5 linked regions of the Coturnix japonica genome follow. The protein of the gene in region 3 purifies or fractionates together with the protein of the main gene of each other region. This does not show direct contact. Links are inferred from orthologs where the notes say so. Each region holds a gene or a part of one and is shown on either strand. Other genes may lie near its edges. The genes, in order: CAMK2D, XPC, WDR76, HELLS and DNAJA2.

Region 1 (6,339 bases), on a different chromosome or scaffold from region 3:
CACCCAAAGGGGCTGGGAGAGGAGCAGCCGGACAGCATTCAATAAAAGCACTCTAGAAAACAAAAGCTCTTCTCACAAATATTGTTAGATGGCCATCCAAGGAACAAAGCTTTTAGCCACTACAGAGGACACAGCAAAATAAACATTGGCAAAAATTACACCCAACCAGAAAACAGTATTAGAAAGCAATTTTTGCGAGGCCCAAACCTCTTAAGAAAATGGCTCTGTTCCTGAAATTTGTTTGGATCAAAGCCATAAGACTCTCAAAAAAGAAAATAAAAGATGTACAGATAATGACTAAAGAAAGACAATAATTTGTGAATTATTTTGCATTTGGTACATGCAGGGAAAAGTCACCTTGCAAAACGTTCTTCTTTAGCTACATTTCTTTCTACACAAGAAAAACACCACAAATGAGCCTAAAGCAACGCTTTAGAAACTGAGCAGTAAGAAAATTGCAGTGACTTCATCAGTCAAACAATACAGAACCCAGAATCTGCAAACACACCCTTCACTTTATTCTAAGTGCTCTGTGCACTGCATTCAGTCTTGGAGGGATGCGCAATACAACTTCTTCCTTCCTCTTTTAAATTAGCAGCACAATTAAATCACGTGAGCTCGTCTAGAAAGGACTTGGTACAAAACGAGCTATTGATTTTTTAACATCAACATAATACTTCAGTTGACTTAGTAAATGTGAAAAAAAAAGCTGCAGCTCAAATTTCTAAGGACATTTGACATCCTAATAAAATTCTTTTTGCCATACTGAGAGATTTAAACTGCAAATAATTATTGCTATCAACAAAATCAGAGAAATGTGGAATCTGAAGCGCCTCATAGAGCCAAGAACTTAAAAACATAATGTGAAATGTTCTTACTGCATTGTCAGCTACAATTGGTGCGTAAGATCAGAGTGGATGTGAATAACTGATCATCCATTTAAAAGCACAAAAGTCACTTCTGCAAAACCAAAACACAACAGAACCAAACTTCCTTTTCCTTCCCTCCAAATGAAAGCCAAAGCCCATCTCTGGACATGGTTACTCCAGAATTTCTTCACAACTGAACAAGGAATCAGAAGAGAACACACCTTCACTGGCGTAAGCGTGTGACGACATCACCCTGTGTTTAGAAGGGCTGCTAAGGGAAGGATCCAAACAATCTCCAACATCATTTGTGGCTGGAGTGACAATTATTGTTGTATCAAGGCTGACACAGTCAAATAATTTTTCAACTCAAATCATGTTGAGTTCTCCTTTAGATTAACAGCCGTGACTCCTCCCCATCAAAACACTGTAATGGCAACTCTGTCTTGCAAGCAAGAAGGCTCAAATTTGATGTAGTGCTTCAGAGTTACAGACAAGCAGGGTTGTACATGGGATACATGGCAAGCTGAGAACCTCTAACCGCTCACAGATGAAGCTCACCCAATAACCTTCAGATTTACATTATGATCTGTATTTCAGGTGAGAAGCTGGAAACATCAAAGTGAACTGCTACCTCATCATAAAGCAGATCAGACAGGAGGAGAATGAAACTTATAATTTAGATACTACTTGAAATGTAGTCCGAGTTGTAAGCTGCATACTTAGTATCAGTCACGTTAAAGTATCACAGACAGAGGCACTGCAAGTAACACCCTTTTGTAACTGCAGAATTGCTTAAGAGGAATCCCAGGATCTCTGTAAGGAGCTTGCTCTTCAAAAGCTGCTGAGATGTTGTTATTTGTCTTCCAAAAGATAAAAGCTAAAGAACAGCAGTGCATGTAAACTAAAATAATAAAATAAAATCTGGAATCTTTGAAAGCCAAGATGGAAATGGATCCACTGCATTCGTGGACACAGCATCACATTCATTCACATATGGAAGAATATTTCACAGCCCAGTTACCAACCTCGAAAACCCAACTCCTTGCTTTATGGGCCTACACTTCAAACCAACAGAAATTTTTCTTTGCATGAGTTTTGCTACATTCCACCTTGCCAGCCAAATTCTCCCCAGCAGGTCTGGGTGCATCAATGGGCTGCAGTGAGGACCAACTCGGTCCTGCCTGAACAGCCAAGGAAGCACAAAATGAAAGCCTGAAAAACAGCATGTCTCAAATGATGACTTCTAAGGAAGACTACAGAGCTGACACCACTTGCTTATTCACTTTCACATTCTTTACCATATCACAAACTCACATCAAAACACAGGTAGTGTTAACAGAGAATAATCCCTAATCCTCGACATCCTCCTACAATCACTTTGACGTGGGTTTAACAAGGAATTGACATATCTCCATTGAGGCTTGCTGCCGACAGCAGTAACCTACAGCACACACGTGACCACCCAAATGTATCACCACGACTTCCCACTGACAGGCAGAACATAAGGGAAACAAACATGTTACAGTAAAACCTAAGCATGCGGTGCAGCAGGCATTAATGCTGGGCTGGAGCTGTGACACAATGTGTCATTCAGAATGACTTGTGTTCACAAATGGACGCTTCAAAAAAGGAATTTTCCCTTTCCCCGGGATCTCATCACAAAGTTCAGTACAGGAGGGGGCATCACACTCTTCTCCACGGATTCAAATAGGCCTTTTTCACGTTTCAGTTTAAATGCAATGGAAACTTTGAATTCAGAAAAGAAAACACATATTTATGATAAAAGCCGCAATGTCAACTTGTTTCCCAGCCTTCCCCTAAAAAAATCAGAGTGTACAATCCTTTCCAGTTTTTCCAATGTAAAAACGGGAAGAGGATGCACTCATTTAAATCACTTCATAAAGCTTCCCTTTAAGGTACAGCAACACAGCCCTCCATACGGTTAACCTCTGAAACGTTTAGCATAAAAAAGAACCACTGCCTGAAAGGAAATGAAGAAAATTACTGAGAAAATTAATAACCTTAATTCTTATTATTCTGTGCTCCGTTTTAACGCTCGCCACAAGAATGCAAGAAATGAGGAGAAGATATCGTAAACGCTCGGTTGGAATATATGGAATATACCCACCCCTGGCCGAGAGCTTTTTGGTGTTGATGATTTTGGCAGCATACTCCTGTCCTGTGGTGATTTTCATACATCGCCTCACGACCGAGAACGCTCCTCTGCAAGCCAAGAGGGGACAGAGCGTCAGTGCCACCCGAACAGCGCCCTGCCATTACCACCGCGCTGCCACACATCTAAAGGAGCGGAACGATGCCCAAAGAATTAAGGGGGGGAGGGAACGGGATAATAAGAAAAATAAATTGTAAGAAGAAGGGAGGCTTGTCAGAGACGGTCAGCGCTCATTTTAATCAACGCAACAGCAAAACGCTGCTCAGAGCCGCTGTTTCGAGCGGTGCGACCGAAGCGCTCTCCCGGCGGCGGCACGTTGCGGCCCCGGGTCCCCGTGTCCGTGCCAACATGGCGATCGGGGATACGCGCCCCAACGCAGGGGGGCGCCCGACGAACCGGCCGCGGTCGTGTCGGGGGTAGCGAGCTCCGGCTGCCGCCGGCAGGGCAGCCCGGCAGCAGGGCAGCCCGTCACCGCCCGCAGCACCCGCAGGGATTGCCGCCCACCCGGAGCTGTGCTCACGGACCGAGTCTCAGCCTTGAAGCGACGCCCGGGGACGAGGCAGGGCTGCAGGCATCGCCCCGCACACCCCAACCCGCGGGGACGGAGCCCCCCCGACTCTCAGTGTTTCCCTCCTCTCCCCCCTCGTCCCCGGAGCGGCCCCGTACTTACTTGCCGAGCTCCTCGTAGAGCTGGTACTCGTCGGTGAAGCGGGTGCAGGTGGCGGTTGAGGCCATCATGGGGACGGGCGGCCGCCGGTGCCTCCGGCGGCCAGGGGAGGCGAGGCGGCGGAGGGGCTGCGGGGTGGGCGAGGCGATGCGAGGAGCGGCTCCGCGCCGGCTTCTCCTCCCCGCCGCCGCCGCCGCCGCCGCCTCTCGTGTCGGGGCCGCCTCCTCCCCGCCAGGCGGCTCGTCCCCGCGGCGAGTCTCTCCCCTCCCCGCCGCCGCCGCCGCCGCCTCTCGTGTCGGGGCCGCCTCCTCCCCGCCAGGCGGCTCGTCCCCGCGGCGAGTCTCTCCCCTCCCCTCGTCCCCACCCTCTGGGAAAATAAATAAATAAAACGTCGCGGCGGAGAGGCGGCACCGAAAGGGAAAGCAAAACCGGGCCGGGGGGCGCGGCGCGGCAGCCGGCGACGGGGCGCCCCGGCCCTACGTTCTCCCGAGCCCGCGGGCAGCGGGGCCGCCTTGCCTCGCTCCGCGCCGATTCCCGGTGCCGTGCCTCCCCCTAGCGATACGAGCCCAGCGCTCGCGGCCGCCCCGTCGCGGCTCTCTGCCGCCGCCCGTCGGGGCCGCTCTGGCAAGGGGGGCTCCGCGCTCGGGGAACGGCCGCGCGAAGGGCCGATCCGATTCGATCCGCACCCGGCACGGAGGCGGGAGGCGCCGCCGGCCCCGAGGAAACGGATGCACCTGCGGCCCGTTCCTCGGCGACCGCTGACGTCAACAACCGCCCCGCGGGGGCGGGGGGGCGGCCGTGCTCGGGGGCGCGCGCGGCGGCAGCCGGAGGGAAGCGGGACCGCGCGACACCCCCCCCACCTCCTCCTCCTCCTCCTTCTCCTCCTTCTTCTCCTCCCGGGGCTCCGCAGCGCGGGGTGGGCTCGGGGGCTGTGACCTTGGGCTCGGTCCTGCAGCGGGGAAGGGCGGCTCCGCAGCACCGGAGGAGGGTTGGACGACAGCGGGGGTCCCAACACGGAGCGTGCACCGTGCTCGGTTAGAAGGGCTGGGAATGCCGCTGTCGTGTCACTGAGAGCCGTGCTGAGAGTGGGGTAAAGCGGCTGTGTGTGGGAAATGGTGCGGCTGAAGTATCAACGCATCTGGTTTTATAGACATTTCATCCATAAGATTTCTGTCCAAAATATTTAAAGCCAAAGCAGCAGCAGCAGGTGAAGAGCTGCTGATGGTGGTAACGGCAGCATTCTTCACAGTCCGAAGTTGGAAATCATTACAACGTGCCTAAAACCCTTCCCAAATGTGGCTGCTTCCACACCCGCCGCCAAGGCGCACGCTGTTACATGCAGCCATACTCCCAGCCCAGGCCCTGGCATGGCTGCTTGCTCTGTGCTGGGCACACCATGTGCCTTGCTGTGTGTTCCTCTATGCTACACACAATGGTGGTGCGTTAAGGGATGAGTTACGCTAACATCTGTGCAGTGCTCTAAACATATAGCACAGCAGAGATGTCAGCTTGCATTACAGCCAGAGTTGTGCTGTAGCAGGCAGCCTGCAGGATGGGGGAAGGCGAGCAGCTCCAAGCACCCCACACTAGTGTGCCAAGAAGGAAATGTGCCATGCAGGTTTCCATTAGGATTCACAGCTGAGACCTCGTAGCAAGAGTTAAAAATCTGTCAGCTCTTTCCTCAGCTAATGCGGGATGTGCGTGTGCATGCAATGTGAACGCATGAGCCTGTGCGCAGCAGCAGTTTTCCTCCCAGCGAGGCAGCTGTACCGTGTAGAAATGAACTGCATTCATGGCGTAAAGGAGTGGTGGAGGAAGGCTGTGAAACTGGGGAGCCAGTTGCAAATATTTACTCCCCAGTTCCTCTTCAGGGGAGAGTTGTGTGCAGCGATTCCAGCACAAAAAGATGGGGGGATGTCTCAGTTTAGAGCTGCACATTTACACTGGAGCATGAATGTACTACTGTCAGATCAGTGAAGGGAATATGCACAGAACAGCACAAGGAACAGAGGCATATTTTCAACACAGGCCATTCTGTGATTCTGTGATTCTATGATATTTCTTTGACCCTTGAACAAAATTGCAACACGTGAGTCGTGCCTAATTTTGTATTAACCTCCATAAATAACACAGTGAGCAGGACCGAAGCCCCGGGGTTGTTTGGTGATGTGCATATTTACAGGGGCATGTCCAGCAGGCTGCTGACAGATGCATTCGTAAGCACTCAAAAATAAAGTGTATTCCCCCGTCCTGCCTTCCTTTTTCTCTAACAGTATATCCTGACAGCAGGCATTTGGCCAGACTATCTGTTGTGACTGTGCCACCAGAAAATGTTCAGAAGAAATTACTGATAATCCATTCACTTTCTATTCCCATTGGAGTTCTGTTTAGTAATGACATTAAAAGAGAGCACGATCCAAACAGACAAAAAACAAAACCAAAACAACCAAAAAAAACCCCAAATCTTCTCCTCCGCTTCCCAATCTGAATAAACAACTGAAAATTGGGAGGGAGTCCTAAGAGCAATACCCTGTATGAATTTTATTACAGGTGTTCAGGAAAGAGATTGTTTACAAGATCAGTATCATAAGGACTTGGAGAATTTGCAGGGGGGCAATAGTAGGGAAATG
Region 2 (5,679 bases), on a different chromosome or scaffold from region 3:
GCCTACCAGTGGTGTTTTTACTCCTCTTTGCTCTTACTACTTAAGAAATAGTAGCTTCCTTCCCTCCATAGGATCATCTGAGAAATATGGTCATTCATCTTGACTGGATTCAGGTGGTTTTTTTTTTTGCTTTTTAGAGGCTTCTTTTGCATTCAGCAGTTTAGAACACTTTCATCTTACATGCTCATCTGCACACAAGAATGGTGCAAAACTGAAGAACTTAATGTTTCTGAGGGTAGGTATCCAGGTGGAGCCAAAGCTCTGTTTCATTGCATGTATACAAATTTCTATCAAACCAACTGAAGCAGTATTTTTCTTGCCTGCTTAGCATGCTCTGTCAGAATGTGTATCTGCTTTCTGCTTTGTTCCTCTCTGCTTTGCTCTCCCTTAAATTGTATTTACTCTCATCTTTTGCGTGCTTAGTTTGAGAGAGCTGGCTGAACTCATAACTTCATGCATTTAAGTCCAGTAAGTGCTGACTGAAGTTGGGAAGTGCTGACTCACTGTGATACAGCTGCTTCCAGCTCCCTTTTGAAGCAGATGAAACATTACTGATGCCAGCTGGACTTAGATCCTTGCATTCAAAGTACTCATCTTGTAACGTACCCTGTGCAGCCACTGACACAGAAGGAATTCTGCCCTCTCCAGTCCACTGCAGTTTTACCACTTTATGTGAGAGGTTTTGTTTTTGACCTTGAAGTCTTCTATACAATCACGCCTACCCACCAAACTCAGTGTTTTTGTTTTAGAAGTCAATGGTAAAGAAATAAAAAAGATGACCCTTAACATTAATTCTGCGGTATCTTGGGACCTGGTTTGTGATTTCTAGAAGTAACACTCTTATAGTGCTTAGTTGTATGAGACAATCCTGATAGATAAACTGAGCTGCTGCCAGAAGAGAGGAGCATTAATTACTTTATTTTGTTCTACAAATACGGTACAAAAATATATATTTTTTGAGATAGATAAATGAAAGCCATTTTCTTGCATTTAAAGCCTTTCTCTGTAACAGTACTGAGCAACAAGTAGACTGGATTCATCTCCATCTTTAAAGAAACAGTGTAATTTCTTTTTAAAAATACAGCAAAAGACAAAACAACATTTCTATTGCAAAACTGCAGGAAGAGCTTGTATAGACTTAACATTCGTCTCATCACAAAAGGCACATCTAGTCTTCAGCGTGGAAGTTTTCTGGTTCATCCAAGTCTTGATTGAATGCTGCACTCCACACAAGGTATTACCACACGAGTTATTTTCCACCTCTGTGATGGTGAGACTGGATCTCTACTGATTAGGATAAGGTAGAATTAAAACAAGGATGTAGTAGTCTCTTAACTAGCTTACCACAGACTGTTAAATAGCAGCTGCATACTTCAGTTCTGGGCAATTAGGGGAAAGAAAAAAACAGGAAAAAATTGGGAAGAGGCAGTGCTGATTTGTGACCGTGTTGAGTGATACAGAGGAGTGCAAAAAAGCCCAGCTGTGTACAGATGGTGATCTTGGAAAGTACAGCTGCACTTCTGCTTCTCCTGAGTTCAAGGATAAACAGATGAACTTAATTACCCACAATAGCAATAGATTCTTGGTGCTGAAATAGGTTGATCCCTGATAGCTCAGAAATGCAAACGAACAGAAGATTAAGTCTTTAACTGGCATAGGATACTTTTGTTGTGACCTTTCTGTTCTTGCTTTGGGAAAAAGCAAAGAAATGCTTGTACTTATCACAGTTTCTCAAAAGGAAACAACTGTGCTGCTTCTTCCTTCTTTTGTCGCTTGCTTTTTCTGGTGGTCTTCTCTTTCTGCTGCTCTGCCTGGCGATTTCGGGGCCAAGAAACTTCCACATCTCCTCCTGCAGTCCCTGAACTTGGGCCTTCTTCATCAGAGGAGAATCCTGTTCCTTTCTCTGTCTCAGATGCTGATGGCTCAGCCTGGAAAAAAACAAGCAGGCATAAAAGTGGAAAAGGAGCTCTTAATAATCATTTGTAGCTACTCTTTTCTAAAAAGGCTCATTTTCTATCACATACCTTGATGGAGAAGCGTTGCTTCAATCTCTCTCTAATGAGAAGTCCTTTTGTCAGCAACTTCCAGTTCCCCAGAGCTCTCTTCTCACGCTTCTGTTATTGAAAAGAGAAAAAAAAATACAAGTTCCAGCGTATTGATATTCACAGGAGATAGAAGTTTAAAGCCTTCAAAATGGAGCTGAAAAATAAAAGAACCACTACTCAACACCATACCAACAACTTCAGTGTGTCACATTAGAAGATTATAGGCCGGTATGATTCTTAGGAACAGTGTATTGGTGACAACGTATCTGCTAATGATATGAATTACTGTCACTTTCCAATTTTTAACTATTTGAAAGTACACTCTAGTTCAGAGATTGCTGCACACTTGTTTGCACTGCAATGCAAACAGAAAGCCACAAGTGAAGCATTTGGGGAATTCAACTTGCCTCTCTCTCTCGGTCACATTGCTCTGTCTGTTACAAATGCAGCCTTCCTTTGATTGTCTACAGCTTAAATTGAATTAAGCAGTAATAAGGTGGCTGCAAAAATAATTCTCACCTCCTTCTCCTTCTTTTCTATTTCTGCTTGTTCATTCTCCCAGGCAGCAATGAGCACTTCTTTATATTCTTCACAGACAACATAGCCATCAGTACTAAGAAGGAGAACAGAATCCCATCAGCTACTAGAAGAAAAAAGAAAGGGAGCAAATGCCTGATGACCCCACCAGTCAAACAGCTGCTGACAGAATGGGATACTTGTCTTGTGGGGTGTAAATATATAATTTATCACCTATTCCACCCCCCAAGTGCAGACCCTTTGAGCATATAAAGTCACTTCTGCATGCCAGGGCCATTGATGCTGCTACCACAGGTAGCTCAAAAGAGAAGGAGGATGTGCACAGAGTACACAACTTCTACACAACATCAACATTCATCACCTTAAACAAAGCACCTTTACATACACTGCGTGTGAGTAGCCACCATGAAAGTCAAATCCAGTGACAGCTTGAGCACAGTCAATGTCCAGCTTCCGTGCCAATCTGTTCAGGTTGGGGAGTCTAAGCTGCACACAACCAACAGGTAACATAGAGGGCAGGAAGAGATAGACGTTTCCATATTCATTCCGAGGAACCTGGTATTGCAAAATGAAAGAGAAGTGATGACACTCCTGCCTTCTGGAGAGAGGCCGAAATTAGCTGCAATTCAAGGTCCCTCCCCTCTTTCTGGCCTGCTGCATTCTACTCTGGTATTCTATTAGTATCCACACAAGGTACAAGCTAAATTTTAACTACATGGTTGCCTCCTAATGTTCTCTGACCTGGCCTTGTTACTCTGGCTGTAATGCTGAGAACTAGCAAAACAAAGATGAAGTTGGAAATTAGATAGATTAGAAAGTTGGACTTAGGAATAAAAGGCATTAATGACATTTTCACTGTGCCCTCCTGGGTTTATTTACCTCAGAATTCTTAAGCCTGATATTATTGACTGATCTCACCTTTAAAACGTGCAATTCTCAAAAAATAAAGCCCACAGCTTCATAAGAAACAGTTCCTTTAACACCAGCCCTCTGCTTTCCTGGCTACCTTTCCATCCACTGCTATGGGTGGCTGATACTCTTCTGTCTGCCAGCGACCAAACAGCGCCAGGTCTGCTTTGTCCCGGTTTGCAGGCTCTGCAAGACGTGCCTTCCTCGCCTGGTTGGAGTAGCCCTTCACCATCTGTGCAAATACAATGATCATACTTGGAACAGCGCAGAAACAAGCTGTTAGTGATTTCAGACTTTCCCAGGACGGCAAAGGAGAAGACTCTGGAAAAGAAATAATGCCTACTTCCTGTCTTTGGGATTTATCCCTTATAAATGATAACCCACAGCTACTGTGCGCAAGGGAGCTAGAGTCCCTCTTTAATTGGAAGTCATAGGATGCTTCTGAAGAAGATATAAAGGGTGCAGTTCTGCAAGATACCCTTGGGGTACAGACACAGCGGGTGAATGGAATCACAACACAGCTACCACATGAAAGCAAGAAACCCACATCTGCTGACAGAAAGAAGACATTAAAAAACAAACAACAACAAACAAAGCTAAGCTTGAACTTCAGAGAGCAGATGTTGCACAGGAGGAAGCCAAACCCACTTACTTTATAAGGCACTTCTCCAATCCTCACCACTCGAGCCTGCTTAAGCCAGGTGTCCTTGGAGTGGAGCGTGTGTACACAGTCTCTAAAAAGACCAAAAGAAAGCAAAGAGTTGCATCAGAGACTTCCAAACCATTATTCACATGCTAGGAATGGTTAAAAAAATAAAAATAATAAGTGTATCTAAGTGGTATGCAAATTCTGTCTGAGTAGCTAAATGTCTCATGCTGTCTGTGCACGTGGCCTGAGTCTACTGCAAATACCGTTGTGGTCAGCACACAAATGAGCTTTAATTTGTTACAAAGATCACAGACACAGACAACTATGTCCACCACTCACCTCGAGTAAACAGGCTCTCCCCTGCAGTACCCTAGGATAGCAGCTGACTCAGGATAGATGGCCTGATATTTCAAGAGATGCCTCTTCAGTGCATATAGAGGGTGGTTTTTGTACTCTCCAATTGCTGTTGGTAGAGGCTGATCTTGAAGCTTAACCTGAAACTGTAGGAATTATGGAAAAAAGAGAGTTATTTCACAATTACCTTGCACTAGCCTTTTAAGGAATTAAGAATGACTATAGTCTGGATTAAGGGGAAAAAATATTAGGAAAATAATCAGATGAACCAAGGGACCAAAGCATTCTTGTTGCAGATACACAGTTAGCGCTGCACCCACATCTATATATCTTAAAGAATCTGCCCAAGAGTAACATCAGGCTGTACAGAAACCATATCATTAAGTTTCCAGTGTGGGCTTCCCAGTGCTCTATTTGATTACTACTTTAATCTTATCATTGTATATTCCCTTTAAAACTTGCTCATTCTGAATATTTCAAGCTCAAATACAAACCTCCTTCCTCGTGGAACCATTCCTTATGATTTTTGCCTGAATGGGAATCCAGGGACTATGATGCTATTGAATGTCTCCCATAACTTATTATCATTTACCTCGGTTTCCTCCTTCTTGTCTCTGTCCACAAAGGGACTTCTATATGGCTGCAGTGTGTCTTCCCACCACTCAGGGTCCACACGTTTCTTCCTTGTCGTGGTCATCCACACCGGGTCATATCTTTGTGTCACATCCTTGACGCTCCCATCATTGTCAAATCCCACAACGTAGGAAAGTGGCTTTGTGGCATATGCAAAGCACTGCTGGGGCTGGCCAACAATGCCATGAACGCAGTCTACACACACCCACCTGTCCTCACGTTCAAGGAAAACCTCTAGCCACTGGTCTGTGCCAGCCACTTTCTGTACCATCTGCTGCCCATCATCCTCATCACTAGAAATTATTTTGTTTCTCTTTTTCTGTGTATGAGGCAAGGTTGGAGCTGTGCTTTTTGCAGGTCTTGGCTCAACTCCCAAAGTATTTCTGGATAGCTTTGATTCTGAAGTCTCACTTTTGGGGCTCTTTATAGCCATTACCTTTGATTTCTGGGCACCTCGTGAGCTTCTCCGCTTTTTAGAGACTGTTTCAAAGTCCTCGTCAGAGATATCACTTTCCTCTCCTGAAATCTCAAAGTCAGAACCACTGCCTTCAT
Region 3 (5,279 bases):
ATGCGGTGCAGCACGGCCATGGCCACGCGCGGAGCCCCCCGTGGGCCGGTTGCGCTGTGCCACCACGCGGCCGCCGTCCCCGCTCGGCCCCCATTGACCCCGTTTATGCAACGTAGCCGAGTTCACTCGTAGTGTAGTGTTCCTACCTCAGCCCGTAGTCAGTGTGTCTATGCAGTGCGTGGTAGCCCCCGCCCGGTGCCCGCGGCACCGCCGACCTCGGCCTCCTCCATCCGCTTCCCTTCGCACAGCCAGAGCGTCGGCCCCGCGGAACCCGCCGTGCTCACCCGGCATTTCCCCGCAGCGCCGTGGCCGTGGCCGTGGCCGTGGCCGTGGCTGCGTCCCGGTGTTCGGCACCTCTTAGTTCTACGTCCTTGTATCCGGATGTCGTTCCCGTAGGTTCCCATATCGAACAACAGCGGCGCCGTAACGCGCCGCATCTCCGCAGTAGTGGGTGAGATACCGGAAATGTGAATTTCTTAGTTTTCATAAGAAAAACCTCGGAACTGACCTTTCATGTGCCAAATCCTGTCAGCCACATTGTCCTTCGAAATGTACCTTTTTCTACATATTCGATATCTTAGTGAGCAGAAATTCATCGGTGCCATGGAAAGTATTTTTAAACTGAAATAAATATTTAAATATCATGGGGGAAAAAAATACACACAAAAAAACCCCACCCCAGCCCGCCTTGGTTTGACATTTGTTTGCTCTCACACACCTCAAAGCCCAGATGTGCCACATTGTGCCCCATGACGCCTCCAATTGTGCCCCAATTGTGCCCCCGGCTGTACCCCATGTCCCAGCTGTTCCTCCAGATGCTCCACATGCCCCAGCTATTGCCCCAGCTGCACCACTTGCCTCCCCACTGTGCCCCACACCTCCCCTCATCAGGTCCTCCTGCTCTACCTCCACACACCCCACCTGTGTCTCCTGCCCCAGCTGCACCCACCCCCCAGCAGGGATGTGGGGAGATCTGACCCCATGGCTGAGGAACCCCCATGAGAGCTGTGGGTGCTGCAGGAGAAATGGGGGAACAACCCAGAGCTGCTGAATGCCCCACATCCTTCCATGGTAACCTTGATCTAAGTAAGCTTACCCTCAGGGAACAGCCATCTGACCACATCACGTCTTCTTTTTTGCTATTTTGATATAAACCACCTTTAGATTAAACATCCTTTTATTGAAAGGAACGCCGGAACCATAAACACAGACCAAGCACTTAAAAGATCAGCTTTGTCCCACGACAGCACAGTTGCAGTTCTCTCACCCACAGCTCCATGCAGGACAACCCCCCCCCCCCCTACTCCATGAAGACGTGCAGGCGGCCGCTGGAGTTGCCCCCCACGAGGATGTTCCTGGTGGGGTGGAATGCATTGATGGAGCATACGGAGCCCAGGTGCTCGGGGCTGCAGAAGGCGTGAAGCAGCAGCCCCGTGTCCTGGAACACCTCGATCTGCCTGGGCCGTGCCATGCTGCCCACCACAAAGCACTGCTCCTGCTTGGGGTCCCACACTGCGCGGAAGCGCGTCAGCCAGCGGCCCGTGTTGTTGTTGTGCCTGCAGAGCAGAGAGGAGCAGATGCAGAAGTGCAGAAGGAAGGCACCAACATCTACACCACGTGTTTGCCAAAACCCATCCTGCTGCCCCTACACACTGCCACATCCAACTGCTGGGCACAGGGCTGCAAAGGGATAAAGAAATGAAACGGAGCACAAGAGAAGTCAGAGGACACGTGGAAATGAATGGCTATCGATGGGTCATGGTTGGACTTCATGGTCTTAGAGGCCTTTTCCAACCTTCATGATCCTGTGCCTCCACGCCTCAAAGCAGCCTCAGTTGCCCCATCCCTGAGGTGATGCCCACACCAAGGGGACAAGCCTGGAGGCTGGTAGAGCTCTGCAGGCAGCAGCACCCCTTGGAAACACATCCCTCACTGCTCAGTAACCCTTCCTATGTTAGAAACTCAGAGAGAAAGCACTCGAGCAGAGCACACTGCAGCAATCAGAAGCTGCTGCCTCCTGGCTGCGAGCACCCCATGCAGCCCCAACACAGCAGAGCCCACCCCACTGTACCTGACCGTGCAGAGGAGGGCAGAGTTGGCTGATAAAGAGCTGGTGTCATAGACCCTGTAGGACAAAACAGTGTGTGCTGATGGACACTACGTGCGGTAGAAGAGGCAGCCCCACCTCGTGGAGCACTCAGTGCAGGACCACGGGCACACAGAATGCAGCACTCGGCTGTGAGCACTGAGATCCCAACCAACAAATGACCCAGGGCACTGCAGGCTCAGCCCCCCCCATGGGCTCAGCCCCCCCATGGCCTCACCTCAGCTTGTCGTCTGCACACACCGTGACCACGCGGTGCCCGCTGATGGGTGAGAAGTACGCGGAGGCCACGCTCTTGCTGTGCCCACGCAGGGCACTCACTGCTTTGTTCCCACTGCGCCGCAGCCATCGCATGTCGTAGACACGGACGTCGCTGTAACGCAGCAGGTGAGCAGGTAAGGGATTGTAAAACGAGATTCTATCATTTCAAATGCTGCTGAGGACTAAAAATGGGTCTTTCTAAGAGCCAAGGAAGCCGGGAGCAGCCTGCAACACTGAGAACCACCCAGCACAGCTCCTGCTCTGCACAGAGCCCATTACAGCAGGGATCAGAGCAATGCCCACAGCGGGGATCACAGCAATGCGTGTTCTGAGCTACGTACACAGAGCCTGCAGCAAGGAAGTACTGCTTGTCCACGGGGTGCACGTCCACCGTCCTCGTCATTTTGAAGCCGATGTCTGCAGAGAGCTCCGGTGACGTCCCCGGGGTCCGTCTGTCCACCACAGCCACTGTGCCATCCCACAGCCCCACAATGGCCGTGTGGGCACCGTCTTCCAGGAAAGCGAAGGAGGAGAGGCTGTCCTCACTTCTGTAAATCTGAGTGCCAGAGGGGCAAAGGAAAGTACAGCTATACAGCCCAGCACAACAAACACACACCTGCAGCACCAAACACCGTGGGCATTTTTTGTATATTGAAACTCTGCAGGCAGTGACCTGATCAGAGCTCCAGCCTCAGCTCCCTGTTGCATGACCTGTCCCCACAGCAGGCAATTAACCACCCCACCTGAGCCAGCCCCATGCCCTGCTCTCAGAGCTGCTCCATGCAGACAGGTTGGACTACCAGCAAACGGAGCACCATGAGGCCCTTAAACTGCTGCAGAAAGCAGGCACAGCACTCTGCTCCCTCAGAGCCCAAGAAGAGCAAAGTCATCTAACACAGGCTGTGTGCTGGCTTTAGTTCTTTAAGCCGCTCCCATTCCCCACCTTTAAGCAGTGCTGCTTTTGGGAAGGGGCACACAGTGTATTTAGTTCCAGCCTCCTTCCTGCTACAGTGAAGAGCTGCGGCCACCTCAGGCACAGTGCGATCAGCTGGGCAGCACCTCCGCCTTCATGACAGCAAACAAAGCCACCTCATGTGCCCCCATAGAAATGGGACCTCCCCTGTTAACAACCCACACATAACACCTGGGCTGCAATGGGAGCAGCACCGCGCAGCACCCACCTCATCAAACACCGCCCTGCTGACATCACCGCAGCGCAGCGAGTCGTGGCTCAGGGACAGCAGCTGTGCGGGGTGGGAGGGCGAGAAGTGCATGCAGTTGACGGACAAGTTGTGTGGGGTGAAGACCTGAGCTCCTTCCTCACTTGTGCGGCTCTGAACAACAAAAGCCAATAAACGGATGCTTAGAGCCGTTGCAGTGCTTCCCACTGACTGCCCAGCTGTGCAGCACAGGCTGCTCCGTGGGACCACAGGGTGCTGCAGGAGGGGCTGCAGAGGTCGGCAGTCTCCAACAACGTGCATTATGTGTGTGGAGCATTTCAAACGCCTCCAGCTGAGGCGGCACACAGCTGAAGCTGCTCGGCCCAGCACAAACCCAGAACCCAAAGTGCTGAGCATCCCTCCCGCTCAGCTCCCACAGCAGCACAGCTCCCAGGGCAGCAGAATTGGTTCACAGTGCAGCGCGGTGCTGCCAGGCAGAGGAGCACACTTACAACGTCCCAGAGCCCGACGTGGCCGTATTTGTCCCCAGCTGCCACCAGCACGGCGCTCTCTGTGGGGTGGATGGCCACGGAGCACACACGGCCGCTCACCACCTTCCTGATGCCGTCCTCGCGCAGCAGCATGCAGCTCAGGGCAGCCTGGTACCTGCACACACCACGTCAGCCACCCCAGGGCGGAGCAGACCCAGCCCAGGGTCTGTGCCACCTCCCCTTACCTCGCCATGTCACACGTGCGCTTTTCAGTGTTGTTATTCTTCATCTGAGGATTGAAAAGAGACGCGGATCAGAACAAGATCATGTAGGACATGAGCAACGTCATCCAGAGATGCCACCAAAGGCAGCCGGCCGTACCTCGCTCAGCTGCAGCCAGGTGCCCAGCAGCGCTGTTTCACTCTTCTCCTGCCCACCCGTGGCCATGGGCAGCGGTCCGGCAGGGACCTGCAACATGGGGTCACATCAACCATGGGCACAAAGCTGAGCATAACTGCCTGCACCTGAACATAGACTGCAGCGCCTGGGGACCCTCAGCAGCACCCCAGGGTGCACTGCCTCATTAATGGCCCCTTGAGCATCAGCCACCTCCCAGCAAACACCAACCAGCTCCCATGGGATGCAGGCACTGCACTGCTTGGGGTGCACGCTCCCCTTCTGCCAGCAGCACAGCCCCACACAGCCCTGAGAGCTTTCCAGGAAGCACAGCACAGCAGTACTGACTGCAGTTGGCTGCTCCCAGCAGATCACAGCTGTATCCCCCTGCAGCCCCCCCAGCCCCATCCCCATCTCACATATTCCTGCTCCTCCTCCTGTGCTGGTGCCTCCACCTGTGGGACCTCTGGGGGCTGCATCCTCTGGAGCCGCATGGACCTGCGCTGCACCGTGCTGCCCTCGGCCTTCCTGGGCTTTGCTCTGCAATGACAGCACTGTGAAGGAACAGAACTCCTCCATGATTCCTGAGCAGAACTCTGCAGCCCGGCCCTACAGCACAGATACCTGAACCCAACCGCACCGCCCTGCACTGCCATCACTGCTTCCTTTGGTGACAGCAGCACGCAGCAGAGCAGTGGCAGCGCACACGGATTTATGACACTTGTTTCCTTGTATTACATCCTGATGCCGCTTTCCTGCCATCCCTCCTCATTTATAATTCATCCTCCCTCTCACTGATCTGCTCATCTTCTCCCTCCTTTCATCACAGCTCCCATTACTTCGCATCTAACACAGCGCGTTTCCCTG
Region 4 (6,144 bases), on a different chromosome or scaffold from region 3:
TCCCCGCCCCATTCCCAGGTCCTGCTGTTCCAAGCCGTGCAGCCTTAGTTTGTGGAACTGGATGTTGTAATGTGCTTCATGGCAAAGCAATTGTGGGAAGAATGTTACTAAGAGCCGGTGATGTTATTTTATTGACGCCGTGGTAACAAAATGCAGCCATGAATATCTTTTTAACACCAATGTAGCATTAAAAGGCAGGTGCTCCTAAGCTGGAGCTGCCTTGCTTTCAGACTGCAGCTACATACACATACTATATACATACACATATATACATACATACACAAGCTATACAAGTATACATATGCATACTTAGCTACATTATACTTCTGAGTACAACCATATTGCTTCCAATAAGTTCTTTACATACTTCTCCACCCCTCTGCACTTGTGTCCTGAGTCTCTCTTGCTGGTCCCAATGACCCCTTCCAATAGTTTTCCTCCGCTGCCCATTGGTAACCTCTTCCCTTAAGCACATGCATTGGCAGGGATAACTCGTTTTTCCTCTTATAGCTCCTGACCGCAATGTCCTTGTATCTTAATGACACGTCTGTTGAGGCAGCAATATCAGGTTGCCTTGTAAATCTCACTTGGTTTGGGCTTTGCGGTTATAATTCTTTTTTGCTTTCACTCAGTCTCAAGACATCAAAGCAAATAAGCAAAGAAAACTTATTTTTTAAAGGTACCTTTAGCTCTGTGAGATTCTAAGCAGTTTCCAAAGTACTTCGTGGTGACCCGGATGTCAGCACCAGTTTCAGGCAGGAAGGAAAGGTGAAGGTGTCACTAAGCTTCAGAAGCACTTAAGAAAATGAAACTGCAAAGATTTTGGTTGGAAAGTATATGTTAATAACTCTGCTTATTTAAATATATATATACAAATAAAAAGTAAAAATTAAGGCCTGTCCTTGTTTCATCCATTTCCTGCTCTGCCCAGCACCATGGTGGGGCCATGATCATTCCCTTTTGCAGGGAGAGATTGCATTANTAATAACTACAAATTTCTTCACTTATATATTCATATTTTGTTCTAAATGCAGAAACAACATTTGATTCCCACAAAACTCAGAATATAAAGCACCACCTCATCCTTGGGCAGTACCTCCTGTACATTTATACATAATTATTGCAAATCCAACAGTATTTTCACCTTAATTCCAAACACTAGATGGTAAGAAAACCAAACAGATGGCAGCTCGTCTTAAAGAATCCCAGTCGCAGACAAGAATACACCTACCTCCAGTTGCTGCTGCTCCATTTTAGTTAGCAGGAACTTGGAATAAATGTTGCTTTTCTCAAGCAGGTGTTGAAGCCTCTTGTAGCGCATTTCACTTGACTCCCTGTCCCACGCACTGCGAGCCTGGCCAATACAGAGACATCATGTATTTATACACCAAGTATTTATACACGCCTCCAAGGTAATGCTTGTAAGATAATGAAAGATTCTCTTACAGATTGATTCCATTTGTCTCATACATACACAAGCACTCTCTTTCAGTCATTATACATCCACAGTTTGTGGGTGTGTCAATCCACATCTCCCTTTCTCTCTACAAAGTGCTCAGAGATTAATATAATTGAGGGTTGCATTCACTCGTGTATGTAAACAGAGCTCTGGGTATATTTGTTTCCAGTGCAGCAGGACAAAGCATTCAAGGGCTTAAACGTGTCTAATTTCCAACTTACAGATTTAGAGTAAAAAGGTCATTTAAGTTTATTCACAGCTCACAAGACCTGGGAGAAAAACAATAACTTTGCAAAATTCAGCAAACAGTTTCCTAAACCATATCCTCAAAGGTACAGCTCTCCATTATCAGCAAGCTATCTGAACAGCCTAATCATAAATGCCTAAACTGCTAATGCTTACGTTACAGTGGCCAAGTGAATTTCCAGTATGAAAACAGTAACTTATTTTGCTTCGCTTTTAAAATTCACGTGTTTAAACTGCTACTCTCTTCTGAAAGTGGCACCTGTTGAATTGATTCCATACAGCAATTAGAAGCCTGCATTACATCTTTAAAACCGAGGTCAAGACCTCCTCCAGAGTAAAAAAAGCATTCACCCAAAACTGCTGGTTAGATTGAGATGTCAAACACGTCTAAATTAGCATCTCCAAGAAAAACCAGAGGGAAGGCAAGCAGCAGAGCCTCGGGAGATCCTTATCTATGCCACAGCCTTCAGAAGGAACACTGGGGGAAGGGCACACTAGGACACAAAAACAAGAGAATTTCCTGCAACTAAATGGATTCACAAGTAGCCTATTTGCAGATATAAGCTGACTGATGGGGTAAACTGCAAGACAAAAAAGCTGTCCGGTAGAAATGCTGCCTTGAACATTCCCAAAGCGATGCTTCAAATCACTAAGCAGCTATCTCTGTGCTTTTAACGACAGGAAGATCCATTTCTCCGTGTCATTTGGAGCTTAGATGGCTTTCCTGCGATTCTCCATAAAGTTTTTATTCGCTTCTGCTCTCCTTCAGACAAAGCACCTGAGCCCAGGAGGACCGACCCTTGATGTCAATGCCAAAAGATAACATAAGTGAAACTAAGCTACTTTGTTCATTGAATTGCCAACACTCTTATTTATTTTGCTGGAGTTGAATAGTTTACTCCCACTAATTACTTCCTTCAACCCATTTTTTCCCTTGAAAAAAAAAACAGACAACCCAAAGACGACAAACAGCACCAAATCAAAAGAGTTCTTTTGATCTGTCCAGGGTAGGCATCGCTTTGTCCTTGGACTCAGCCTCAAGCTACAGGGCTGCTTTTAGTACCCATTATACCGACCAGGCTACACACTAGATGCAATGTGTACATACAGCTGGAAACAGGGTCCAAAGAAGTGACAGGCAATGAAACCCCCCCCAAAAAAAAACAGAAGCTGAAGAGTATTAGCTGTCCCAGGACGCAGGGATAAACAACAGGGACAATCTCTCTGGTCCAAACACCCTTAATATCAGCATTTGAAACACACACAGCAAGGGGATAACGAAACACAGGGATGGTTGTTCACAATGCGGGATGTGAAGCTCCTTAGGACGTGTTTCCGAAGGCAAAGCCCCCATTCATCCCATTCATCCCCGCACCTTCTCCATCATCTGCCGCTCCTTCTCCAGCCCCGCCGCCTCCAGCTGCTCCTCCTCAGCCAGCATGGCCGGCGTGATCACCACCTCCTGCTCGCCCATCTCAGCTCCCGGCGGTTCTGCAACGACCATACACGCTGTTACCCGCCGTGCCCGGCTCCTTTCTCTCTGTCCCCCCCTCCTCCCTCCTCTCACCGCCGCCGCTCTCCCCGTTCGGTGCCGGCATATGGCGACACACTCCGCCCGGCTCCTACCGCCTTCCGCGCGCACCCAACGCCGAGCTGCTCCCGCGCGGGACGCCGCCTCGCGAGACCAAAAACCGCGCGCTAGCTCGAGTCTCGCGAGAGGAAGCGTCTGTCTCGCGAGACGGCTCAGCCCTCCTCTCCTATGGCGGAGTGGGGCTGAAGCTGGGTTGGGTCCTGGTAGGTGATAGGTGTTTCCCCGCCCCATTCCCAGGTCCTGCTGTTCCAAGCCGTGCAGCCTTAGTTTGTGGAACTGGATGTTGTAATGTGCTTCATGGCAAAGCAATACTGGGAAGAATGTTACTAAGAGCCGGTGATGTTATTTTATTGACGCCGTGGTAACAAAATGCAGCCTTGAATAACTTTTTAACACCAATGTAGTATTAAAAGGCAGGTGCTCTTAAGCTGGAGCTGCCTTGCTTTCAGACTGCAGCTACATAGACATACTATATACATACACATATATACATACATACACAAGCTATACAAGTATACATATGCATACTTAGCTACATTATACTTCTGAGTACAACCATATTGCTTCCAATAAGTTCTTTACATACTTCTCCACCCCTCTGCACTTGTGTCCTGAGTCTCTCTTGCTGGTCCCAATGACCCCTTCCAATAGTTTTCCTCCGCTGCCCATTGGTAACCTCTTCCCTTAAGCACATGCATTGGCAGGGATAACTTGTTTTTCCTCTTATAGCTCCTGACCGCAATGTCCTTGTATCTTAATGACACGTCTGTTGAGGCAGCAATATCAGGTTGCCTTGTAAATCTCACTTGGTTTGGGCTTTGCGGTTATAATTCTTTTTTGCTTTCACTCAGTCTCAAGACATCAAAGCAAATAAGCAAAGAAAACTTATTTTTTAAAGGTACCTTTAGCTCTGTGAGATTCTAAGCAGTTTCCAAAGTACTTTGTGGTGACCCGGATGTCAGCACCAGTTTCAGGCAGGAAGGAAAGGTGAAGGTGTCACTAAGCTTCAGAAGCACTTAAGAAAATGAAACTGCAAAGATTTTGATTGGAAAGTATATGTTAATAACTCTGCTTCTTTAAATATATATATACAAATAAAAAGAAAAATTAAGGCCTGTCCTTGTTTCATCCATTTCCTGCTCTGCGCAGCACCATGGTGGGGCCATGATCATTCCCTTTTGCAGGGAGAGATTGCATTACCCTGTCAAACCCTTACCATCCTTCCCACCACTGCCATATCTGTGTTACCCCTAACCCAAGAATCCTGGCTGTGGGATGCAGCAGGACAGTGCTTTTAGCTTCTAGAAAAGTATTTTCCTTTGTACGTGTGATTTTTCTGTGTTCAACTGGTCATTACATAGAGCTGAAATACTGTTTTCCCTGTTGGTCAGCAGAAATAAATGACAAACTAGTAGTTTATCAGCCTTTTCTTTGGTGACATTTGGATATCCTATAACCACAGAACTTTATGCAGTGAAGGACTCTTTGAAAAGTATATATTTCAAAAATCTGTCCCAGGAAAATGGTACAAGGTCAGTCAGTTAAGCCTGGAGACTGATGGACACACACCATGGCCTGTTTTGAACATCCCAGAGGCAGACACTTACCAGGGAATATGCAGAAGATTCATGTCCAGCCTTGCAGATGAGGGAACTTACCCTGGCTTAGCACACGAGTGGGGTGATGACAATAAACATTCCTCTCCAGATGCAGCTATCATCATGGAAATAGTTAGTGCTGCTGATCATCGCTCCCCTTCAACCACTTCTGAGACTGACGTTTTAATATTAGATTTTAATGGTCTGACCTGACAAGGTGAGTAAGGGAATACTGTATAGTTGAAATAATACAAATATAATTGGTATTACAAAGTAAATGAATAGCCAGAGGGTATCTAAGAAAAGACTCACCAACGCTGAGGCCTTCAGTCAAGATGGATGCTCACCAATGTTGAGGTTCACCACAAAAACTCCACACAAGAGCAATCTCCAGAAAGAGATGCTACCTTAGTGATGGTCAGCCCTTAAATGGGATCTAGGAGAGGTAGAGTCGAGCTCCACCCCTTCCAGGACCACAGCCGGATTACCTTCACCTGTGCTCCTGCAGCTGACTCATTGCTTGCCTCAGATGGTTAATCAGAGGTCCAGGCTGTGATCAACAGTTTCTCTTACAAATGCTTATGTAAAATATTCATGGGATAGATTCTTAGGGTTGGGAACAGGGCCACTTCAGTCAGCAAAGGATGTTAAATGGGCAGACTTGGTTGCATCTTCCCTAAGTGCAGCAGGATCCAGAAGATGGTGCATCTCTGTGGCATATATTTAGTTTCACTGTTCAGTCCAAGCAAACAGCTTGTAACATGTAACTTCTTTCCAGAAATGTCTTTTTTTCGCACTAGGCAGTGACTTGTTACTGCAGTGCAGATAGTTGCTGGTCTGTTACCCTTTGTTTTGGAAGATGAAAGTCCCTCGTAACACCTGGACATTTGTACAGCATAATGCAAGGTGCAGAGAAAGCTGAACCTAGAGGCACAGAGGGGGCTGGGGGAAATTACAGTGTAAGAGAGTAGATAAGAGTTAGAAAAAAAAATGCAGATTGTAAACAAAGAAGGTTCTGTTCTCAGGTCAGCCAAGTGGTTGCTTGAAGTCACAGTAACTCTGGGCTGTCACCTTTGAAATTTACTTGTCGCTCTGGTATGCAACACAGGAATGCATGTTGTTTCATCATGCTCTGTGCCTACACAGGTTTCCTGATGAATTTATTCCAGGTCTGCCTTGTACTAACTGCCCTGACTGCTGAAGGGGCAAATCAGAACCTGGGACTTGAAATAAACTAGTTTTCTCTAGGT
Region 5 (5,679 bases), on a different chromosome or scaffold from region 3:
ATATACCATTGCAAGGCAGTACTGAAACCTGAATGTGTGTAAGAAAGGCTGTTAAGAGCTAGGAAGTGTTTCTGGGCCCTGACACTGGCCAAACTCACAAGCTGTGCACTTCTTCAGTGATGCACGACCTCTCTTAATCAACTGATAGTTTTCTCACCAAGGTAGGAAGCACAGCAAAGACTCAATAACTATATTACTACCTCTGACCTACATATCACAATGCACTGTTTACACACAACTAATGCTTCTTTCATTTTTTGTAGGACAAGGACAATGGCCTATTTAAAGTATCAGTAGTTACAGTAAAGCAATAAAGTTTAGCAGTAAACTGAACAACATTACTTGCTGCAGTATTATATCACTTCCAAGTTCAGTACTGAAGTCAAGACTGGATAGGTTTCATATTTATGTATGACTTCTACTACACTAAAACTGTACGAAATGATATATATAACAAAGGCAATTCTGGAAATAATAGTAGGATTCTGCTGACAGAAGCCTAAGTTAAATAAACAGATCTTGATTAATTTGTACAACACAATGATCAAATCTAAACCTTCCCCCTTCACTTCAATATGCTCAGAAGTTACAGTGGATTGATTCCTCCTCCTACTCTCAATCCCCACTCCACCAAAAAACAAAAAAAAACAAACCAAACACCCTGAGAAACACAAATTTAGGGTACATCCTCCACTTGTTCAGAGGTAAATCTGAATATTAGTACTTAAAAGCATCAGACAAGCACATCAGTTATTAAACACTACAGCTTGATATGATGGACTTCTTGGTGAAGCACATCAGAAGGATCACTATGTAACTATGACTGAAGTTTGTTTTTTTAAGTGAAAACAAACAAAGCTTCACCAGATGACTTGCACAGTATAAATCAATACTGAAGTACCAGCCAAACAGTGTTTATTTTTGCTTCAGTTTAAAATCCACATTTAGCAATGCTCTTATGACATCACCTACCCAAGTACACAGAAAGCTTTGGAGCATCTCCCACCTCACTCACGGATAAGAAGTCAACAATTACCTGACAAGTTATTAAAGTCACACTCGAGATTTATAAAGAAAAGAATGTATTTCAACTTCTACTCAATGGGGGAGAGGAACTACACTATAACAAACTGGTGAACAGCAACTCATACACAGTTCTCTAACTGACAAAATAAGATAGCTCTACCTGGTAACTATTTAAGGTCTCTTTTTTTCGCCAATTAAGTGCATATAAAAAGGAATAGGACTGAAAGTGGGAAAATAAAAGGTCTTAATTGTTAGGGAAAAAAAAAACAACTGAAAAACTAATAAAATTGACAACATTTAGTATGTTTTGAGGTCAGAAATATTTGTCAAGTAAAATGCTAATCTCCATCTCTTTACAAACTGCATTAATGCAATTGCAAATTGCCAGGCATGTTTATTTATTTGTAAGACACTTAGCATGGGATTTAATCATCTTCATTGCAGATGTTTGTAACTTCTTGATGGCAGTCTAAAACCTTTGTACTTTCTCTAAAGAAAGGGGACATGGCTGTGGCCTTCCCCTACCTAAATAGCTGTACTGCTGCTCAAGAAAACATTTATACACAGCACACAGTTCTTAAACTGCAAGCTGGTCTTAAAGCAGCTTCAGCCTCCCTGTGCTTTTAAGTGTCCACCTCTCTATAGTCAGTTGGTACACAACATGGTCAGAACCACTGCAAAAGTAAAAGTTACAAGGCAGAAAGAAATATTATACACCAACTGCTTTTATTTATTTCAGAAACCGTTCACAAGATGGTAGAAAAAACTTACAACCACTTCTAATTTAGTCTTCCATTGTTCCCAGTCAGCTCTAAACCCATTATGTGCAAAGCCCATTTACCATGCATCTAGATGACAGATACAGGCTATGAAATTCTTTATTCTACTTGTAGCAGCTTATGCAGGTGCAGCCAAATACCAAGCCTCAGGACAAATTGTACACAAACTTTACAATGTAGAATTTGAATTTAAAATATGAAACTTAAAATCTACACAAAACTGGTAAAAATCAAGCACAGATACGAGGACAAACTTAAAACCCATGTGAAAAGGAGTCTCGTCTTCCTTTCAAGTGCTTTATTCTGCTACACAGTCAAAATGAAGATGTAAGCTTTGTGGTTAGTTTAAATTACACTCTGTAGATACTATAGACCAATTTAAAAGTTACACATACAGCAATAGATGTCCATTGGTTCATCTGGATTACTTATACAATCCAGTTGGATTGTTGAAAACAAGTCAGGCAAAATTTGAAAGAAAAATCCTTGTGCAACTTTTTAGACAAATGTTTACTGATGGGCACACTGTACCCCAGGTCCATGATGGCTGCTTTCTTCATCAGAACTATCATTATAAGCTTCACGTCTCTGGCCACCACCTGAACCACGAGTGGTATCAAATTCTTGAAGATCTACCTCTTCTGCATCACCAATTACATTAGGAAATTCTGGTCTAGCAGGCAGAAGATCTTCAAGTTCCTGCCCCGAAAAAAGAAGTGCATTCAGTACCGTATCTCCAACTTTATCTACATAAAGCGATGACTTTCCCCACAGCTTCATGACTCCTCCTCAGAGCAAGTTTGCTTTGGAAGCCTAAACTGGCATAAGCCCTGGAGTGCACAACTCATTTAAGAGTAACCAAAGTATCTGCATTAACTGGAAGACACATTAATAAGGAAAAAGCTCCACACATTATCAACTAATGTGCAACCAGTAAATATAGTTGCACTCTGAAGACTTATTACATGGTCACAGGAAGATTCTTCCTCCTGTTCCCATCTACTAAAAATCCACACAACTTTTAAAAACAGGTACCAGAAACCTATATTTCAATACATATTTCCAAATCATATGCTGCTATAAACAGTGTTAATAGAACAATTTATTCAAACTTAGGCATTGCAAAGCAAGAATTGGAGGCAAGAACGGGAAGCTAACACACAAGCACCTTGCATACACCGTCCAGTAGACTACCAAATTCATGCTTGAAAGACTACTTACTGAAAGCTTCTCTGGGCTAATCCAGTTATTTTCAGGAAACTGAACGTCAAATTTAATGTAAAGATCCCCCTTCTCAAAAGGATTGCGATACTGTGGCATTCCTTCACCTCTGACTACACGGACACAGCCTGTAACAGTAAGAAATAAGAAATGCTACTTTAGGAAAATCTTGCCCTACCCAATTCTCTAGCCAAGGTTCAGGTGAAAGCATGGTCAAAGGAGTCCTTATCTCCTCAAGCTTACCTGGTTCAATTACTTTTCCAGGAGGATATTTAACCACAATTTGACGCCCATCGAGGTGCTTAAATGTGAACTGGAATCCACACAGTGCTTCAACAAGTCCTATCTTGTGCGTCATATGCAAATCATTCCCATCCCTTTGGAACACCTGAAAAACAGAAACAGGAGGTATCTTTTCTAGTACTACAACCATATCCTCACAAAACTAATTATTTAGAGCTTATTTCTGTTCCTAAAACTTCATGTCAGACCTACCAACATACTGTGGAAGTCTGTGCATTACAAACATGTCATACAAGATAATACAAACCACACAACATCCCAAAGCATTAGGTTCAAATTACATAAAAGGTAGCCCATAAAGCAGCCGTGTTCCCCAAGACCTTTCACAAAAATTAGGCTATAAACAAAAATTTCAGGACTGTTTGACACTACTTCCTCTACACCATGCTACAGAAATCACATTTTGGTTTCTCAACATTTATTGTAGCTGCTCCCATCTCCTTCAGCTAGTTAGCTATGGGGCAAGGTTTCGATCAATTAGTCCGCAGCCATCTTAAGAGATCTTTCAGCCACAGCACTTTGGATTTTTCACCAGAATACACACGAGTTTGTCTGCTGGTAGGCTGCCAAAAGCATTACTTCTTCCACCTCCTTTCCTACTTCAAAGGAGATTTTAAGAACATAAAATCTCGACTATCAGTCTAGTTCTTCTCAGTAGGACACAGGGTTTCAGTATTTTTCAGAATAGTTAATGCTGTAAAACCAAATAGTTAATGCTGTAAAACCATTATAAGACTGAGATAGAAATGATATCTACCATATGGATTGTCATGCTGGTACGTGCATTTGTTTTGTATGCATACAGTGTTCTCCCTTATCAAAAAGAAACCAAGAATCAAGTAACTGTGATGCTGGGTTTCACGCAGTATTACAGAAGAAGAATAAGGCTATACATAAGCCTTGACAAAATAGCAGTCCACAGCATTGAAAAGCTTACGAATTACCAGATACTTAAAGCTGGTAATAACTTAGGTGCAACTACATGAGTTACTTCAAACCGAGCAGCCATTTACATCACTAAAATATTAAAAGATTATATTTTAAATGCAATTTAATATAAACTCAAAAGTATTACCTCATTCTCCTTTTCTTGGAGTAAGAGGACAATATCGCCTGGTTCCACACCTGGAGCTTGATCTGCTTCTCCACTGAATGTAATTCTTTGCCCATGTTTCATGCCTTTGTCTACATGGACTTCAAGTATTTTTACCTCTTTGATCACCTTTTTCCCTTCACATTTTTTACAGCGGTCTTTTTCATTAATTACTTCACCTAAAGACACAAGTTTTGAGTTCAGAGATTTACACATAATTGTACACCATTCTGAAAGGGGAAACAAGCTGTTTTAAAGTAAGTTGAATAACATACACAACAGAACCAGTCATTTAGATGTTGCTTTACGCATTTTGACAAGGAGAAAGCCAGGCTCTACTTACTGTACTTAGGAGATGGGAAAGAATGAACAAAAAGGTAACACAAAGATACATATATCTTTTTGTATATAAATATGCAAGTTTCCAAGCTGCCTTTTCAGGAATCTTTAAAAGAAGATTTTGGACAAGGAAGACAAAACAAAAGATGAGGTTTGCAGCTTGCATTGCTCCTTAGGTCCAAATTGAACTCCGGTATCCTTACCATTCAATTTCTCTTTAAAATAAATTTAAAAATAAAAAAACACCGATTTTTAAGTTCTTTGCTAAAATGCAAGATAATCATTATAAACGAGGAGTAAACCTAAAACCAAACATAAGCATCCACTCTCTCTTAAAAGTTACAGTACTAATTTCAAACTACTAAACTGAATTTTGGAAACTTAGTTCTGTTCTGTTAACATCAGTGAAAGGAGGATTACTGAGGGAGTCCCATTTTGCAGTATTTTACCACAGCTCTGAAGTATCATATAAATATAGTCAGCAAAACTTGAGATTTACATACATTGAAGAGAAGACAGCTGGTCAAACTGGCTTCATACAAGACAGAAATTATCTAAAATAGCCTGGCACATAAGATTCCACTTCTATACTGCTCTGACAGTGAATAGTTTTTCACACTGTTTGTCACCTCTAGCAACACAAGTACATCCTCCAGCAAACTGAAGGATAATTATACAGAACAGCTTAAATTCTCTGTTCTACCCAGCTGAAATGATGTACTCGAATGGTGAAAACAAGATGTTCAGAAATATCATTTGTAAAATATTTCAATGAAATACAGCCCTTTGTAATTTCAGGTATTGTCATAAACAAAGCTATCTAAAAGGCTGCATCACTGCTCTGCAAATTGCCTAACATTCAGAAAGAATTCACACAAAGCACATATCGCATGACGGTCAAACAACCAATTCAGCAAA

The links.
Region 1: the proteins of WDR76 (region 3) and CAMK2D purify together in Homo sapiens (affinity purification with mass spectrometry; 3 studies listed by BioGRID and IntAct, counting the BioPlex papers as one, with this or other methods). This does not show direct contact. The link is inferred for Coturnix japonica from reciprocal best matches to the Homo sapiens genes WDR76 and CAMK2D.
Region 2: the proteins of WDR76 (region 3) and XPC purify together in Homo sapiens (affinity purification with mass spectrometry; 3 studies listed by BioGRID and IntAct, with this or other methods). This does not show direct contact. The link is inferred for Coturnix japonica from reciprocal best matches to the Homo sapiens genes WDR76 and XPC.
Region 4: the proteins of WDR76 (region 3) and HELLS purify together in Homo sapiens (affinity purification with mass spectrometry; 4 studies listed by BioGRID and IntAct, counting the BioPlex papers as one, with this or other methods). This does not show direct contact. The link is inferred for Coturnix japonica from reciprocal best matches to the Homo sapiens genes WDR76 and HELLS.
Region 5: the proteins of WDR76 (region 3) and DNAJA2 purify together in Homo sapiens (affinity purification with mass spectrometry; 3 studies listed by BioGRID and IntAct, with this or other methods). This does not show direct contact. The link is inferred for Coturnix japonica from reciprocal best matches to the Homo sapiens genes WDR76 and DNAJA2.

The regions. Positions count from the first base shown.
Region 1 is NC_029519.1:50,654,083-50,660,421, reverse strand, and holds the start of CAMK2D (calcium/calmodulin-dependent protein kinase type II subunit delta), read right to left. Parts: upstream 3,914-6,339; 5' UTR 3,781-3,913; coding exon 3,713-3,780; intron 3,123-3,712; exon of another isoform or gene 3,093-3,122; coding exon 2,998-3,092; intron 1-2,997. UniProt on the Homo sapiens protein: Calcium/calmodulin-dependent protein kinase involved in the regulation of Ca(2+) homeostatis and excitation-contraction coupling (ECC) in heart by targeting ion channels, transporters and accessory proteins involved in Ca(2+) influx into the myocyte, Ca(2+) release from the sarcoplasmic reticulum (SR), SR Ca(2+) uptake and Na(+) and K(+) channel transport.
Region 2 is NC_029527.1:8,357,689-8,363,367, forward strand, and holds the end of XPC (DNA repair protein complementing XP-C cells), read right to left. Parts: coding exon 5,087-5,679; intron 4,641-5,086; coding exon 4,480-4,640; intron 4,226-4,479; coding exon 4,144-4,225; intron 3,724-4,143; coding exon 3,589-3,723; intron 3,138-3,588; coding exon 2,968-3,137; intron 2,689-2,967; coding exon of another isoform or gene 2,682-2,688; exon of another isoform or gene 2,659-2,681; coding exon 2,565-2,658; intron 2,115-2,564; coding exon 2,025-2,114; intron 1,929-2,024; coding exon 1,722-1,928; 3' UTR 898-1,721; downstream 1-897. UniProt on the Homo sapiens protein: Involved in global genome nucleotide excision repair (GG-NER) by acting as damage sensing and DNA-binding factor component of the XPC complex. Has only a low DNA repair activity by itself which is stimulated by RAD23B and RAD23A.
Region 3 is NC_029525.1:18,051,858-18,057,136, forward strand, and holds the end of WDR76 (WD repeat-containing protein 76), read right to left. Parts: intron 4,953-5,279; coding exon 4,832-4,952; intron 4,485-4,831; coding exon 4,398-4,484; intron 4,306-4,397; coding exon 4,262-4,305; intron 4,192-4,261; coding exon 4,038-4,191; intron 3,700-4,037; coding exon 3,547-3,699; intron 2,922-3,546; coding exon 2,707-2,921; intron 2,478-2,706; coding exon 2,325-2,477; intron 2,126-2,324; coding exon 2,072-2,125; intron 1,557-2,071; coding exon 1,301-1,556; 3' UTR 1,160-1,300; downstream 1-1,159. UniProt on the Homo sapiens protein: Specifically binds 5-hydroxymethylcytosine (5hmC), suggesting that it acts as a specific reader of 5hmC.
Region 4 is NC_029521.1:14,027,904-14,034,047, forward strand, and holds the start of HELLS (lymphoid-specific helicase), read right to left. Parts: upstream 3,543-6,144; 5' UTR 3,528-3,542; coding exon 3,332-3,527; exon of another isoform or gene 3,304-3,331; coding exon of another isoform or gene 3,273-3,303; intron 3,197-3,272; coding exon 3,081-3,196; intron 1,355-3,080; coding exon 1,232-1,354; intron 975-1,231; exon of another isoform or gene 684-974; intron 28-683; exon of another isoform or gene 13-27; coding exon of another isoform or gene 1-12. UniProt on the Homo sapiens protein: Plays an essential role in normal development and survival. Involved in regulation of the expansion or survival of lymphoid cells. Required for de novo or maintenance DNA methylation. May control silencing of the imprinted CDKN1C gene through DNA methylation.
Region 5 is NC_029526.1:6,538,039-6,543,717, reverse strand, and holds the end of DNAJA2 (dnaJ homolog subfamily A member 2), read right to left. Parts: intron 4,602-5,679; coding exon 4,405-4,601; intron 3,415-4,404; coding exon 3,270-3,414; intron 3,155-3,269; coding exon 3,027-3,154; intron 2,505-3,026; coding exon 2,316-2,504; 3' UTR 1,734-2,315; downstream 1-1,733. UniProt on the Homo sapiens protein: Co-chaperone of Hsc70. Stimulates ATP hydrolysis and the folding of unfolded proteins mediated by HSPA1A/B (in vitro).